Linked DNA regions of Danio rerio. The protein of the gene in region 1 interacts with the protein of each later gene in a biochemical or structural test. Links are inferred from orthologs where the notes say so. Each region holds a gene or a part of one and is shown in the gene's direction. Other genes may lie near its edges.

Region 1 (4,674 bases):
CCTTAAATACTAGAATATTAAGCAATTCCAGCGTTATTGATGTGACATTTGCAGTAAAAACTCGAAACATAAATTCACAGAGAAAGTATAACAGTATATTGAAACATCTGTTTATATTTTTTTAAAGCAACTAAAGCACAGAGTTACAGGATCAGAACAATATCAATCCGTAAACATATTTTATATTTTAAATGAGGAAAATAAACATGCGTTATGGATGTGACCAAAAAGGTCTGCAAGTTTACAGTGCACAACATGCTTTGTAGAAATTCAGTGAATTAAACTGCACAACCCCAAAAAAATTAATGCCAACTAAAAGGGTAAGAGTTGACTCACTATAGAATAAACATGATTGATTTGATTTGATGTTTTTGCATTTATAAGAGAAAATCTTGGTTATGGATGGGACACTTTTTCGTTATGGAAGTGACAGATGTGAAATTGCCACTTGTGTGACTTTAGTAAATCAGATATAATAGTTTGAAAACACTGACAAATACTTTTTGAGCATTTGTGCAGTACTTTAAAATACAAGCCTACACACACACAAAAAAGGGGGTTTTGCTATTTTTTTCATGGCAAGGTTGACATTGCATGGAATTGCTTTATTTTATTTAAATTTATTTACATGAAATAAATTATATTATTAATTAATAAACCGAGTTACTGTAACTGTCATAATTTTTTTTACCAACCAGCAGTCAAAGAACCACAACATAACCGGATCACATCAAAACACACGCTGCACTTATTGCTATGTAGATTACACTACCTAGAGTTTCACTTTCAAAATGGGGTAAAAAATCGTCCCATTTGGTGTTTTAAATTCTTTTGAATAGAATTAGGTGCTGCTTGTTAATTAGACAGTACTTCTATGTTTGTTCTTGCTGTCAATTGTGGAAAAAAAAGATAGATAAGTGTAATGATGAACTGCTGTGAGTTTAACTGCGAAGGGGAGTCAGATTTGTCCTGGGTGTCAGATTTTGATACAACTTTCCTTCACCTCCTGTTGCGGGTGAGCCCAAGGGGTTTGCACTATGCATTGGTCACTAGAAACTGAATGGAGTAGGAGCACGCAGTTATGTTTTGTTAAATAAGTTGCATATAAAATTTACGCTTTAAAACCGCCCACATTTTGTCAACCCGGCTATGCCATTTTTTTACAGACACATGCCCATTCTGGCAACACTGGAAGTGTACAATATACTTTTACAAAATAAAAGTGCTATTAAAAAAAAAAATCTGTAAAAATATAGAAAGCAAATTTTTATCATACTGTTTTGACATTTTTTTTCACAGTAGTTATATGAAACCTCAGAGCATTACTTGCTGTATATTTAATGTTTTAGAAGGTAATGTCCTGATTTAGTTCACCATGAACATTCTGTTAATAATTACTCACCCTCATGTAGTTCCAAAGACCTTCATTTTTCTTTGGAACCCAAATGTGAAGACATTTTAGATGAAATCTCACATCCTCCTTAAACAGCAGTCCAGAAAAGCAAACAAAATCATTGCAAAAAATATTCATATGACTTCAGTGGTTCAAAAATAACCATATAAAGCTCTGAGTACACTTTTATTTGCCAAAAAACTGTAAAAACAAGTTTTTGTCTGTTTTCCATGTCAGGCCGCGCTTACTTCCGGCAGTACAACGATTATGTGTTTTGCTGCTTTACAATGTATAGCTGGTAGTAAACATACAACCTGGCGCCCTGATGAGAAGATATAGAGGGAAAAAATGTTAATCGAGCTATACCTGTCTGTGGAGGATGAGGGAGCTCTCTGGTTTGATCAGAAGTTTTATCATTTGTTTACCGAATAATATGAACAAATGCCTCAAGGGATTAGAGTGATATGAGGGTGAGAAATTGATCACATAACTTTTAACTTTGGGTGAACTGTTCTTTAAGTTTGATGCCTCATCTTTGATCCGTACACATAACTGATATTTAAACACTTAAAGTTATTAATGGTGTTGTTCTGTGCAGCGGGACATATCACTCTAGAGACGAGAGCACAGACAGTGGCCTGAGCATGAGCAGTTACAGCGTCCCTCGCACTCCAGACGACTTCCTCAACAGTGTGGATGAGATGGAGACAGGTACAGTACTGGACTACTTATAATGAAAATGCATAACAATTTATATCCTCTGATAGAAAATCAATTGGGCCTAAAATTAAATGCTAAATGCTACGCTGTTAAACCAAATGTATTGTGATGTCACAGTTGAAATTGTCAATTCATTGCATTATGTTTAGGGTTGCTTGTTTCATCAGATTTACTTTAAATATTGCTGAATGCATGCTGGGTAATTCTCTCATCATGAATAATAAAAAGTGCAGATATGATCAATGAGATTTGTTTCACAGAGTTAGCATTTATAACTATAGATTTGTACGAAACTCATTAAATGGGCCAACATTTGTTTTGTCTGTGCAGAAAGAATAGGAAGTGTTGTTTTTTTAAACACAAAAACATTAGCTGCGTCCCAACTTGCATACTTATGCACTATTCTACGTCATTTTGTAGTATAAATAGTGTAAGTAGTGTGTTCACACTGAAAACTCTAAAAATAATACATGCACTTTAATTACCCGGATGGTGCACTCATTCAGCCGCTAAAACGAAGTGTGTAATGATGGACACTTCACACGCTCAAAGACTGCAGGTTTGCTCAAGTAGCGGAAGGGGCGGAGCTATCGGGCGCACATGTTGAATAACTTTATATATTATGGATTGTGAAAGCAAAATTCTCCTACGAGAGTGATTATAGCGCCTCCCGATGGTGAATGCGGTTATACTCACGGCAGGTATTATTTGATAATTCGGTCGTTTATTTCACTGATTTGGCAACCGTCAAACGTCATCAGGGAAACGGTTTGAATTTCTGCTTAGTAAAAAAACATTAGTGCTCCATTTGAGACGACACTACATACATATACTATCCTGGTGAGTGTGTAAGTGCATAAGTACATAGTGCATGAGTGTATAGTGTGCCATTTGGGACGCAGCTATTATTATATGTGACTCATTCCAGAGTTGTGGGGACATTTCAAGCATTTTCCTTAAACAGGAATGATATATTTGCAGTGAAGTGAATCTGATAATAATGTAAAATAATGCATAATTCTTGAATGTAATAGGCAACATTTGCTTGTTAATTGCAGTTAAACGTTTTAAACCATAAAAGCCATTCTGTGCTTTAGCTCAAGATGCTAACCTTAAAAAAATAGATATTACAGGGCATGCCAAAAACAGGATTTCATGCATTTCCATCATATTATTGTTTTTAAAAATCTGAAATTCGCTGAAATTTCACAATAACAGAATTTACATATATTAAATATACAATTGGTGTATCCTAAACCAGATTTTTTTTTTCTATCAGTGCTTTACAGATCATTGTCATGACTTTTTGTTACAGACAAAATATGTCATTTTTTTAAAACAGTCATAAAATACATAATAATAATGCATGAAACAGATGTTAATGCAATGAAAAAATTACTTTGACTGATTTTTGTGATAATAATTGAAGCTGTTTGTTTGATTCAGGCGGTGGTGACTCAAAATAGGAGAGGCTTTGAGTTATAATAATAAAAACAGCAATAATCTAATAAGAATCCTTATTACTGTCAAGAGCAAGAATCAAGTGTATTCAATCATTTTAATCGTGTTTAATTGAGTTTTGTATAAATATACAATAATACTTATTGCGGCATTGCACTTTGGACAATCACAGTCTTGGCTCACAGGCATTTCCCAAACTCTGTATAGTGCAGCCCTAAAGGAAACGTTCATTTCTGACCCCTCTCTCCTTTCTCAGGTGACACCCTCGGCCCCGGCTCAATGGCAACACAGCCCAGCCGATTCCCCGATTACCTAGACGCCATCCCGGGCACGGACGTGGACCTAGGCACCCTTGAGGGCGAGAGCATGGCGGTGGAGGGCGAGGAGCTGATGCCCAGCCTGCAGGAAGCCCTAAGCTCCGACATCCTCAACGACATGGAGTCAGTGCTGGCAGCTACCAAGATCGACAAGGAGAACTTTCTAACCTGGCTATAGAGAGCCCGAACCCAGCACTACACCTTCTCTTTCATACCGAACTGCTGCCCAATCCAATCTGTGAAGGATCTGTAGATGCTTTGAGTCGACAAAAGACATTTCACCTTTTTGTTTTTGGTTCTCTCTCGTTTTATTCACAACATTTGGCCCAATTGGTTTTAAAAGCCGAACCTTTGGTCCTTTTTTTTATTCTTCTTTTCATGTCTGCATCCTCAAGGCTGGCCCATGAACAGACAAGTATTCACAAGTAGCAGAATCTCTCTCACGGCTGTACTGCACGTCGGCCCATCAGCGTGCGAGTATGTCCATTTTGTGTTTTGTTTTTTGCCTCGCAAAACTCCGACAGAGCCAAGTGGGTTCAAGTGTTTCACAAGCGGGAACGACAAAGACAGACGAATCCTGAATAAATGAAAGTCCCTGATCTCAACTCAAGCTACAATTGACTGTTTTACTTGATGCAGCGATGAGCCTGAGATACCAAACGAACAAAAGCGATGAGGAGGTCATATGTATGTGGGTTCAAATCTTTTTTTAACGCGTGGCTTTGGTTAAACAAATACTGCTGCTTGGCTGTGCCAGCATATCACACTAGATACTGTGTAATC
Region 2 (4,984 bases), on another chromosome or scaffold:
AGAGCGAGAGAGACATCAAATAATTAATTCTTTAATCTAAACGAATCAGAAAAAGTTTGCTAAATACCCAGAGAGGACGGAATTACATCTTAATCTCTGCAGAATATTTGTACACCATTGGAAATGGAGAATCAGCTTATTTGTCTTATTTAAATAATCTACACAATTTATTCTTGTAATTATGATTATTTTTAGAGATGTCTGTTGTTATTCCCTTTCCTGTCATTTATGTATCATTTGCTGTATATGTTATTAATTTGATAATGTCAATGTATTGCATATTTTATACATCTAAAATGCTTTGGCAATATTGTACTAAATGTCATGCCAATAATGCAGTCTGACCTTGAATGAGAGATAAAGAGAATCAGATTTGACCTGTCAGTGGGCTCCTGAATAGTGTAAAAGAGAAATAATAGATTTTTAAAATTTATTTCAACAGTCTTTTTTTGTTTTACTTTAACCCATTGAAAAGAAAACAAGTTCAAAACAGATAATAATAAAATTAGTGTTTAAAAAAAAAGGTAACTACTTGTGTGCTGTGGGTAAAAGGTGTTTCAATCTATCTACCTCCACAAGTATATTTCAAAGCTGTGGGAAGCACTGTGCTTTTAAAACTTGTATAACTGAATGACAAACCTGAAGGACCCAAAAGTTGATGTAATGAAAACTTCACTTAACATCTTGTGACAAGATGAAGTACAATACAAGTCAGCAGGAACCAAAGTTGGTCACTTCTTTTTTCTTTTGATGTTCAGGTCAATGGTAGTAAAACAGAGTGGGAAGTGACTTACTGTAAAACATTATCCTGAATGCATATAAGTAACAGTCATGTGTGTGTGTCATCTGCCTTCTGCCTTCATGGTTTAAGACATTACTGAGCTATTCCTCAGTGTTCTCTGAGTTCTCCTGAAGGCCTTCATGCCCCAGTCCTGCTCCTCCTCACAGCACTCTCTCTTTGTCTCTTTCAGTGCTGGCATTGCTGTTGGTTTCTATGGGAATGGCGAGACCTGTGACGGCGTCAGTCGGCTTACCTACTCTCTCCGGCATGCCAACCGCACCGTGTCAGGAGTTCACAGACTGGTGAGGCACTGATATAGTTTTATTCACATCCCTCCAAAACACTTAGGTTTACAATCTCACTGACACATGCTTATATACCAATGCATCACTGTGTGATCTGCCGCTCGAGAAACGCGCTTACAAATCAAATGTGTTTTCTGTAGGTGTCAGAAAGTACTTCAGCTCAGAGCCAAACTGTGGATGAAAACCTGCGGATACTAAAGGAGCAGTATGCAAAACACACAGACTATTTGTCCATCATTCAGAAACTGCAGGATCAGCGGAGCGAGCTGGTTCGTCAGATGGCCGACATCCCCTTTTGGAGCAACCTCGGCGTCTCCCTGGAGGATCTGGCAACCCAGATTGAGCTGTATGACTGGTACAGGTACGTCACGAGAAGCGAGGTATTGGTGAAACACCTGCTTCAAATGTTATCAATCGATTGAATGAACGTTATCAGCTGATATATATATGGACCAGTAGGTGCCAAGATAATTATAGTTAACGAAAACAAACGAAAAAAATGAAAGTTTGAATTAATTTTCATTAGCTGAAATAGAAATAAAAGCGAGTTCTTACAAAAAACTATAACTAACTGAAACTGTTTTGTGTGCATGCTGTGCAAAACTAACTGAAACTAACTACAATTAAAGCAAAAACGACCTTCGTTTCATCTTTGTAAATATATTTAATGCATAATCTTACTGTAAGCCTTTTAGAAGTAAATCTGTTTACTTCGCAGTGCCAGGTGTTTGACCCATACGGCACCTCATAGTCTGTCATCCAGCTGCCATTGGCCAGATCGAGTCAGTTATCCTCGCTGTTGCTCCCGTGACAAAAACAACGAGTGGACATGACAGTAGCATGGCAACAGCATTAATTACAGAGACTGAAAGTTATTATTTTAACACATTTGTGCCCAATAATGGCTTTTATTTCTGTATTAGTGAGTGTGATCGCGAACATATCTTTTTAACTGGATCTTCTAAGTGAACCGGTTGAACTAGTTCACCAAATCGAACTGAATCATTTGAAATGATTTGCGTCTTCAGTAAGCACTCTTAATCACTAACTACTAACTTTTTAACAGTCCTAATACCCCCGTCTGACTCGAAATAAACCAATATATATACTGTTATTCAGTTATTAGAACAGATATGTTACACTGAGATCACATTTAGAAGCGGTTAACCGATAATTCTGCACATGCGTGATTCAGTAAACCAAACACAAACAGTACTTGACAGCCTGCTGTGACTGAACTAAACTTGATCAACAGCCGCGCAGGTAAACCAAGGGCTTAAATGAGAGGATCTGATCTATAAACATTTTTTATAATAGACACAGCCTTTTTTATAGGTAACAAAAAATAATTTGAGCCAGTTGGCATTACTGTGTGGAGTTTGCATGTTCTCCCTGTGTTAGCGTTGGTTTCCTTCAGGTCTTGTGGTTTCCACCACAGTCCAGCGATATGCGGTATAGGTGAATTGGGTAAGCTAAATTGGCCGTAGTGTATGAGTGTGTGTGAATTTGAGAGTGTATGGGTGTTTCCCAGTACTGGGTTGCGGCTGGAATAGTATATGGTTCATTCTGCCGTGGTGACCCCTGAAAAAATAAATGGCCAAGTCGAAGGAAAATGAATGAATGAATGAAATATTTGCAAATTCCTTGGCATTGGTAACTGAAAATTTGGTACCATGACAGTCCTAGAAATGTTTTTGAAGCACATGATAAAGTGTTGGTGTAATTGATCCCAACTATCCAAAGGAAATAAAAATAAAACTCTGGAGAAGGAAAAAAAACAGTGCTCAAAGGCTTTCTCTGTATCACAAGTTGAGCCCAGTGCACTCTTAGAGAGAGTAGAAATTAGTATTCTGTTCACCCACAGCTTCTCTTCAGTTATTTCCATTTCCTTGTGAAAGAAACTGCCCTGGGGTCTCGGTAGTCCTTAAAAAAGAGAACTTATTTCATTATAGATATCCAAAACAAGATAACGCAATAAACTAAACACTTTTGGTTTTGATTCTATAAATGAAAGTTGTGTCTGCTTATACAAAAGTTGCAATGTTTACCCAGCAACAGCTCCTTTAATGGCTAAGCTTCATAAATCACTAAACTCCGCTTTGGTTACACAATCCATTAGAAATCATTGTAATATGCAATTTTGTGTCACCTGTCGGTCAACAGCTGACAGTTATGTTCCTTTAAAGATTATGTGTGCATTTTATTTTCATAAATTGTGATTTTGATAAACTTTTCAACAATAATGAAACATAATTTATTAAAATGTAAAAAAGTTGAGTTATTTCATTATGCAAATGAATTCTTCATCCTCTATATAATAGATGCCCAAAGTAAGGCTCAGTTGGCCGATTTTAACCTTTGATTTGGCCCACAGTCCAATCTGAAAAGAGAGGGAGAATAATGGGGAGGTGGTTAGGGCGAATGCCTTTGACAGATATGACTTTTCAAATTTATTGTAACTTATTGTTTCTTTATATTGTTGCTGAGCTACAAAAGAAGCCAACTGAAATGTCAACAACTTTTGTTCTGTAGACTATCGAAAATATATATCTTAAAGAGGCTAATAATTTTGACGTTAAAATGGTTTTTAAAAAAGAAAAAAAACAAATAAGACTTTCTCTTGGAAAAAAAAAAAAAAAAAAATATATATATATATATATATATATATATATATATATATATATATATATATATATATATATATATATATATATATATATATTAAAACATATATATTATCAGAAATTCTGTGAAAATTTCCTTGCTCTGTTAAACATAATTTGGGAAATATAAAAAAAAATAGAAACAATTCAAGGTGGGTTTAATAATTCTGATTTTAACTGTATATACAGAAAAGAAAACGGCAAAAAAGAAAAATATTATGAAAGAAAAAAAAAGTAAAAATATCCGATAAAATAAAATGGTTAAGACATTTTACAGTAGTATTTCCGTGTAGTTCTCTTTCTTTCTCTCTCTATTTTTTATTCCAGTGAATTTAAAGATTTTTAGCTTCATTACTCCAGTCATGAGTCATGATGCTTTAAAAATCACTCTAAAAAAAAAAAAAAAAATTATATATATATATATATATATATATATATATATATATATATATATATATATATATATATATATATATATATATATATATATAATTGAAATAAAAATTGTTGTTATTGTTAATGGTAATGGTAATAAAAGCAGTAATGACTGGATGTATAATTTAATTTGAAACTACATACAATAATAAAGCAGTTATTTATAATGTTATAAAAATATTGAATAATTTAACAATTTTTTACATTTTAATAATTGTCGCAATTTTTTTTAAACATTAAAAACTGACTCACAAGTTTTTGCCTGGTATTGTCAAAAAACCTTAGTAAATAGTAGTAGTAGTAGTAGGTAAATAATGTAATAACAAAAATCATTTAAAAATAATTAATAAATAAATAAAATAATTATAATAATAATAAATAAATAAAAACAAAATAATCAGAATAATCTTTCTCTCTCTCAAATGTCACGTCTAGTTAAAGTCACAATTATTAGCCCCTATTAATGTTTTAATGTTTTTTTTTATTATTATCTGTTTAACAGAGAGAATATTTCTTCAACACATTTCTAAACATAATAGTTTTAATTTCTAATAACTGATTTATTTCATCTTTACCATGATGACAGTAAATAATATTTGACTAGATATTTTTCAAGACACTTCTATACAGCTTAAAGTGACATTTAAAGGCTTAACTAGGCTAATCAGGTTAACTAGGAAGCCTAGGGTAATTAGGCAAGTCATTGTATAAAGATGGTTTGTTCTGTAGACAGTCGAAAAAAAGAATTAGAAGGGACTAATAATACTGACCTTAAAATGGTTTTTTAAAAAATTAAAAAG
Region 3 (4,984 bases), on another chromosome or scaffold:
TAGTTGTTGACTATCTTCTTTTTTGGTGTTTTTTTTTCTGAAATATTATTTTTACAAACTGAAATGGAAATAAAGTTAAAGGAGTATGATATTGAACCTGAAATAAATCTATGCTTCCTATGTTGAAATACCTACTTAATAGGATGTTGAATTTTAAGTTTAATATGCAGACATAATATGGAATTTATATGGAATAATATTTAAAATGCAGATTCTTACTAGTGCCAGTTTCTCCCTTTGCATGGTGTAAAATTATTGTTAGAATTATTCTTTTTTTATTCATCCATCATTTATACACTGTCAAGTTGTTTCAAAATTTTCCTTTTATTCCATGACACACTAAAGGAGGTATTAGGTCAAATGTCTGAGCTGCTCTTTTACAGTAAAGTAAAATTTAATGGAGTTCCACACTGTCTGATAATAATAATAATAATTTTACATATAGCGAACCACACTCAGCACATAACATTTAAATAACACATGTACATAATAAGAAAATTAACTCAGTGATAATTATTATTTATTATTATTATTATTATCAGTAACAATAATAATAATTGTATAAACAGCTAGCCACACTCCACACACAACACATAAATAACACATATGAATAATAATAACATTAACTTAATGATAAGTATATATGAATATTATTAATAATAACAATAATAATAATAATAATAATAATAATAGCAATCCACACTCCACACATAAATAACACATGCATAATAATAAAATAAACTAATTTTTTTTTATTAATAATAATAATAATTATTATTATTGTTTTATGTATAGCAAACCACACTCCACACATAACGCATAAATAACATATATAAATAATAATAGAATTAACTTAATGATAAGTATTTATGAATATCAATAATAATAATTATTATAATTGTAAAATTATAATATAATAATAATAATAATAATAATAATAATAAAATTAACCTTATGATTATTATAACTAATGTAAGTATTATAATTTTTCTGGCTTATTTAGTGCATGTGTGAGTTTAATGTAAAAAAATGTTATTAAATTACCAGTGTATTGTTGCACTTGTGAACAATTTTCATTCTTTTACTTCATCTGGTGACGCCAGGGGCACAGAAATTACGCGATTCACTAGCTGTGCTGTATGTTTGTTATCTGTTACTGTGAAGTGTTTCTGTATGCGTTGCGAGTCCCAGGTGGAGCTAAACTGTAGTGAGCCAAAAGAGTTTTACTTCAACCTCAACCATCTCCACAGAGCCAGCTGCGCTTGTGTTTAATATGAAGAAAAGTGGATGCATGTGTGTGTGTGTGTGTGCGTGTGTTTAATATTATGTTATTCCCAAGCCTTGCGTCATTGTGCGTCATTCACAGATGCAAATATTAAGCGCGTGTGAACTTCTTTTCTAGGTGGCTGTGATGTCTGGCCATTTTGAGCTTGGAGAAATAATTAAAAACCACCGTGAATCAGATGTAGGTAAGGAGCTCAGATTTTTGTTTGTGGTGGTATTTTTAATTCTGTGTGAGATCATTTGTTTGCTCTTCACGCTGTGTGACATTTGGAACTTGATACTTTTGTCTCTGTTTAGCTGCGTTGCGATTCACACAATCCCCAAGCAGTGTTCACTGCTCCTTACACACTCAGAAGGGGATATTTGCTGAAGTCGTGATGCTTAATGATGTTTTAATACAGATGATACATGTGTGATTGTACACATGGAATGAATATTGAAAGCCATTGGGCAGCTGGAGTGTACTTACTGTATGTCTCTCCCTCCATCTTTACTCACTCACTTACTTTTTTGTCAGTCCCCTTTTTGGAGTCTCCTAAATATGCCCCGCAAAGGAGGGAGAGCTCACGGACACTTGGACTGCCTCATCCGCACCCCTTTTTACGGGCCAACAGTGATAACAGCATGAATGTGCCAGACTGGATTGCCTTTCCCAATGCTGCAGGATCAAGCATCGTCTCTGTACAGGTAATTGATCAGTCGATGAATGATTTAGTTGTTGTTATTGTGTTTTATAAATATTCCAAATGCTGTTGTTTTTGTATTCATAAAAAGCTATCCATTAGCAAAACTTGAGTGGTAGTGTACAATATAGGGCTGCACAATATATTCAGGATATCCTCAGGGTGTTAAAAAAGTCTTAAAATGTCTTAAATATCAAAATTTGAGGCCTTAAAAACAACTTAAATCTACTGAAATATTGTGTTGAAGGTCTTAAATAATTTTTAACAGGTCTTAATTTTCCATTGTTCATGTACAGCTACTCTGTCTGGCCATTAACACTTATACAATCACCAACAATCCATCTCAATGAAACTTTTATCTTTTTCTTTAGTAATAGCATTTAATTTCTTTCCTACAGAAACATTTGCTTAAAAGTTCTTCGTTTGTTTTACTGCTGAATGACCTATTTTTTATTATTAAATTATTATTATTGTAGGCTGAAGTAATTGACAGCTATGTTTTGTTCTATTCTTTGTAAGGGTTATATAAATCAATGGCTGCATTTTTCCAACATTCTTTATAATATCTTATTTTGGGTTCAACAGAAGAAAGAAATTCTGAAAAAATGACCCTTTAAAGGGCTATCTAGTCAAGATAACCAGCAAAACCTTATTTCATTGTTGTCACACTGTATGCATAGATACTGTTGATTTGCACTAAGTACTTACCCTGAGGTTGATCTGAGATCATAATTACACTACCGCTTATCATAATAACATGTATATCTCAGGGTCTAAAGCATGGCGGCACCTTACGTAGCTCCAGCAGTCCCCGTGGAGCCCGAACACGTTCCCCATCTCGTGGCCGAACAGGTGACCGGGACGATCGGAGCCGGCAAACACGTGGAAGACAAGGGTGAGGAAGAGCAAGAAGAAAGGACATTATCTAGTTGTTAAGCTCTTGCACAAGCAATACTATTTTTCAGATCCAAGCCTACTCATTTAAAGGGATAGTTCAACCAAAACGGAAAATTGTGTCATCATTTACTCACCCTTGACCTGTTCAAAACCGGTTTGCGTTTCTTTTTTCAGCTGAACACAAAAGAAGATATTTTGAATAATTTTAAAAACATGTAACCACTGACTACCATAGAGTTTGAACTATGGTTTGTATTTTTCTAATTCGGATGTCAATGGCTACCAGTTTCTAACATTCTGCAGAATATCGTCTTTTGTGTCCAGCAGAATAAAGAAGCACAAACAATTTTAAGATTACTCTAGAGGATGGGTAAATGGTAAGTAAATTTTCCTTTTTTGGTGAACTATCCCTTTAAATTGAGAAAACTCGATAGCTATTTATGACTACTGTTTAGTCAAATCCTAATTTCATGGTGTTCACTGCATTCTCTGCAACTTGCTGCATGACACCAATATTTTAATACATTTAATCAAAAAGCATTTAAATCCTTAATGCTTTATTTACAATATTTGTTTATTTTTTGCTTTAACAAGATTTAAAATTTATAATAGATGAATCATTGACTGACCTTCCAAACTTTGGAAAGACTTGCACTGTGAACATATCTTGGTACCATTTTTTTTTATTGTCCTTTTGGCATCTGACAGTGTTTGTGGATTCTATGCCTAAATCATCATTAATACATTGAAAAACACAGACTAAGAAATACTTGATAACATCCTGATAATATTTTTTCAAGTGAGTTTGACTAATCTTAAATCAAGTCCAATTAACTTGTCATTATCAAATAAACTGTTAATGTTACTTAATGTTACCCGAACACTCATAAATATTGATTACTGATTATCTTTCATTTTTAATCTAGATTTATTCGAATAAATCAAATTTAAATTGTTTTTAGCAAGAGGAACTTTGCTTCAATCAAATTAAATAAACACATTAGTTACCAGTTATTTTATATTTTTTCTGTAATATTTTCACTTTTTATGCTGCTTCCTGCACTGAAAAAAGTGATGTCTGCAAAACTGTTGCAAACAACCTATTTGTGTTGAATTTCAACAAACATATTATATTTAATAACGTAAAATTTTTTAACGTAAAAAAAACTTAGTAAATCCAAGGAATCATCTTTGAATAATTTTTTTCAGTGTATAATTATGTTATCATTACTAGTTTAAAAAAATAATCGAGTTTTAAATGTATCAGAGATGAAAACATTACACAGCAACTTTTCAATATTAAATAAAGCAAAAAAAGTCATATTCTTTTCCCCAAAAACTAATGATAAAGTGCCTCTGTGCAGTCATTCTAATGAATTGTTTTCTAATTGAATTGTGGCATTTTTGTAGGGATTCCTGCTTATGCTAACCAAGTCAATGCTTTTTCGATTAAAATGTACTTAATTCTACCAGGCTTATCTGTAATGATTAGAAAACATTTTAATATTACTAGTAAATTAACTCTTTCATTTATTACATCAAGTAAATGTGTAAATATTAAAAATTTTACTTGGCAATTCTTGACATTTAATATTAAAATTTTAAAATGATGACGGGAAATTTCTTAGAATTTATTACACCAAAAAGCTATTTAACTTCCAGTATAGTCACTCACATCCGATGAAGACAGACACTTGAATGAATAAAGCCAATAATAAATGAATGATAACCCTGTTGTCTGATACCTGTGCCATTGTGTAGAGCGGGATCCATCAGTAGTCAGGGCACAGCCAGCGGGCAGCGGCGGCGTCTCTACAGCGCCGTTCCTGGCCGAGTTTTTGTTGCCACTCGCTCACACTCGGCCCAGGGTGACCGCGAAATCAGCTTCAACAAGGGAGACAAAGTCAAAGGTGAATGTGTGTGTGTGTGAGTTTGTCTCTCTTTGTAAGCAGGAGCAATGATGTGCGCTGTGCGTGTCTGTAAATTGGTCCCATTAAATGTGTGTTTGTTTCTGTATGTTTTCCACAGGTGTGGATAAACGTTGTCTGTGTATGTATTCTGGTGATATGTGTTGGTATGTCAGTATATGTCTGTTTGTGAGCAATGTCAGCGTGCATGCA

The links.
Region 2: the proteins of yap1 (region 1) and ttyh3a interact in a test that uses a peptide from one of them, tested with the Homo sapiens proteins (2 studies listed by BioGRID and IntAct, with this or other methods). The link is inferred for Danio rerio from reciprocal best matches to the Homo sapiens genes YAP1 and TTYH3.
Region 3: the proteins of yap1 (region 1) and shank1 interact in a test that uses a peptide from one of them, tested with the Homo sapiens proteins (2 studies listed by IntAct, with this or other methods). The link is inferred for Danio rerio from reciprocal best matches to the Homo sapiens genes YAP1 and SHANK1.

Annotation. Positions count from the first base shown.
Region 1 is NC_133193.1:40,209,172-40,213,845, reverse strand, and holds part of yap1 (transcriptional coactivator YAP1), read left to right. Parts: intron 1-1,991; coding exon 1,992-2,104; intron 2,105-3,830; coding exon 3,831-4,069; 3' UTR 4,070-4,674. UniProt on the Homo sapiens protein: Transcriptional regulator with dual roles as a coactivator and corepressor. Critical downstream regulatory target in the Hippo signaling pathway, crucial for organ size control and tumor suppression by restricting proliferation and promoting apoptosis.
Region 2 is NC_133178.1:41,050,551-41,055,534, reverse strand, and holds part of ttyh3a (protein tweety homolog 3), read left to right. Parts: intron 1-971; coding exon 972-1,083; intron 1,084-1,226; coding exon 1,227-1,447; intron 1,448-4,984. UniProt on the Homo sapiens protein: Calcium-independent, swelling-dependent volume-regulated anion channel (VRAC-swell) which plays a pivotal role in the process of regulatory volume decrease (RVD) in the brain through the efflux of anions like chloride and organic osmolytes like glutamate.
Region 3 is NC_133178.1:29,537,142-29,542,125, reverse strand, and holds part of shank1 (SH3 and multiple ankyrin repeat domains protein 1), read left to right. Parts: intron 1-1,402; coding exon 1,403-1,469; intron 1,470-1,801; coding exon 1,802-1,971; intron 1,972-2,737; coding exon 2,738-2,862; intron 2,863-4,625; coding exon 4,626-4,774; intron 4,775-4,984. UniProt on the Homo sapiens protein: Seems to be an adapter protein in the postsynaptic density (PSD) of excitatory synapses that interconnects receptors of the postsynaptic membrane including NMDA-type and metabotropic glutamate receptors via complexes with GKAP/PSD-95 and Homer, respectively, and the actin-based cytoskeleton.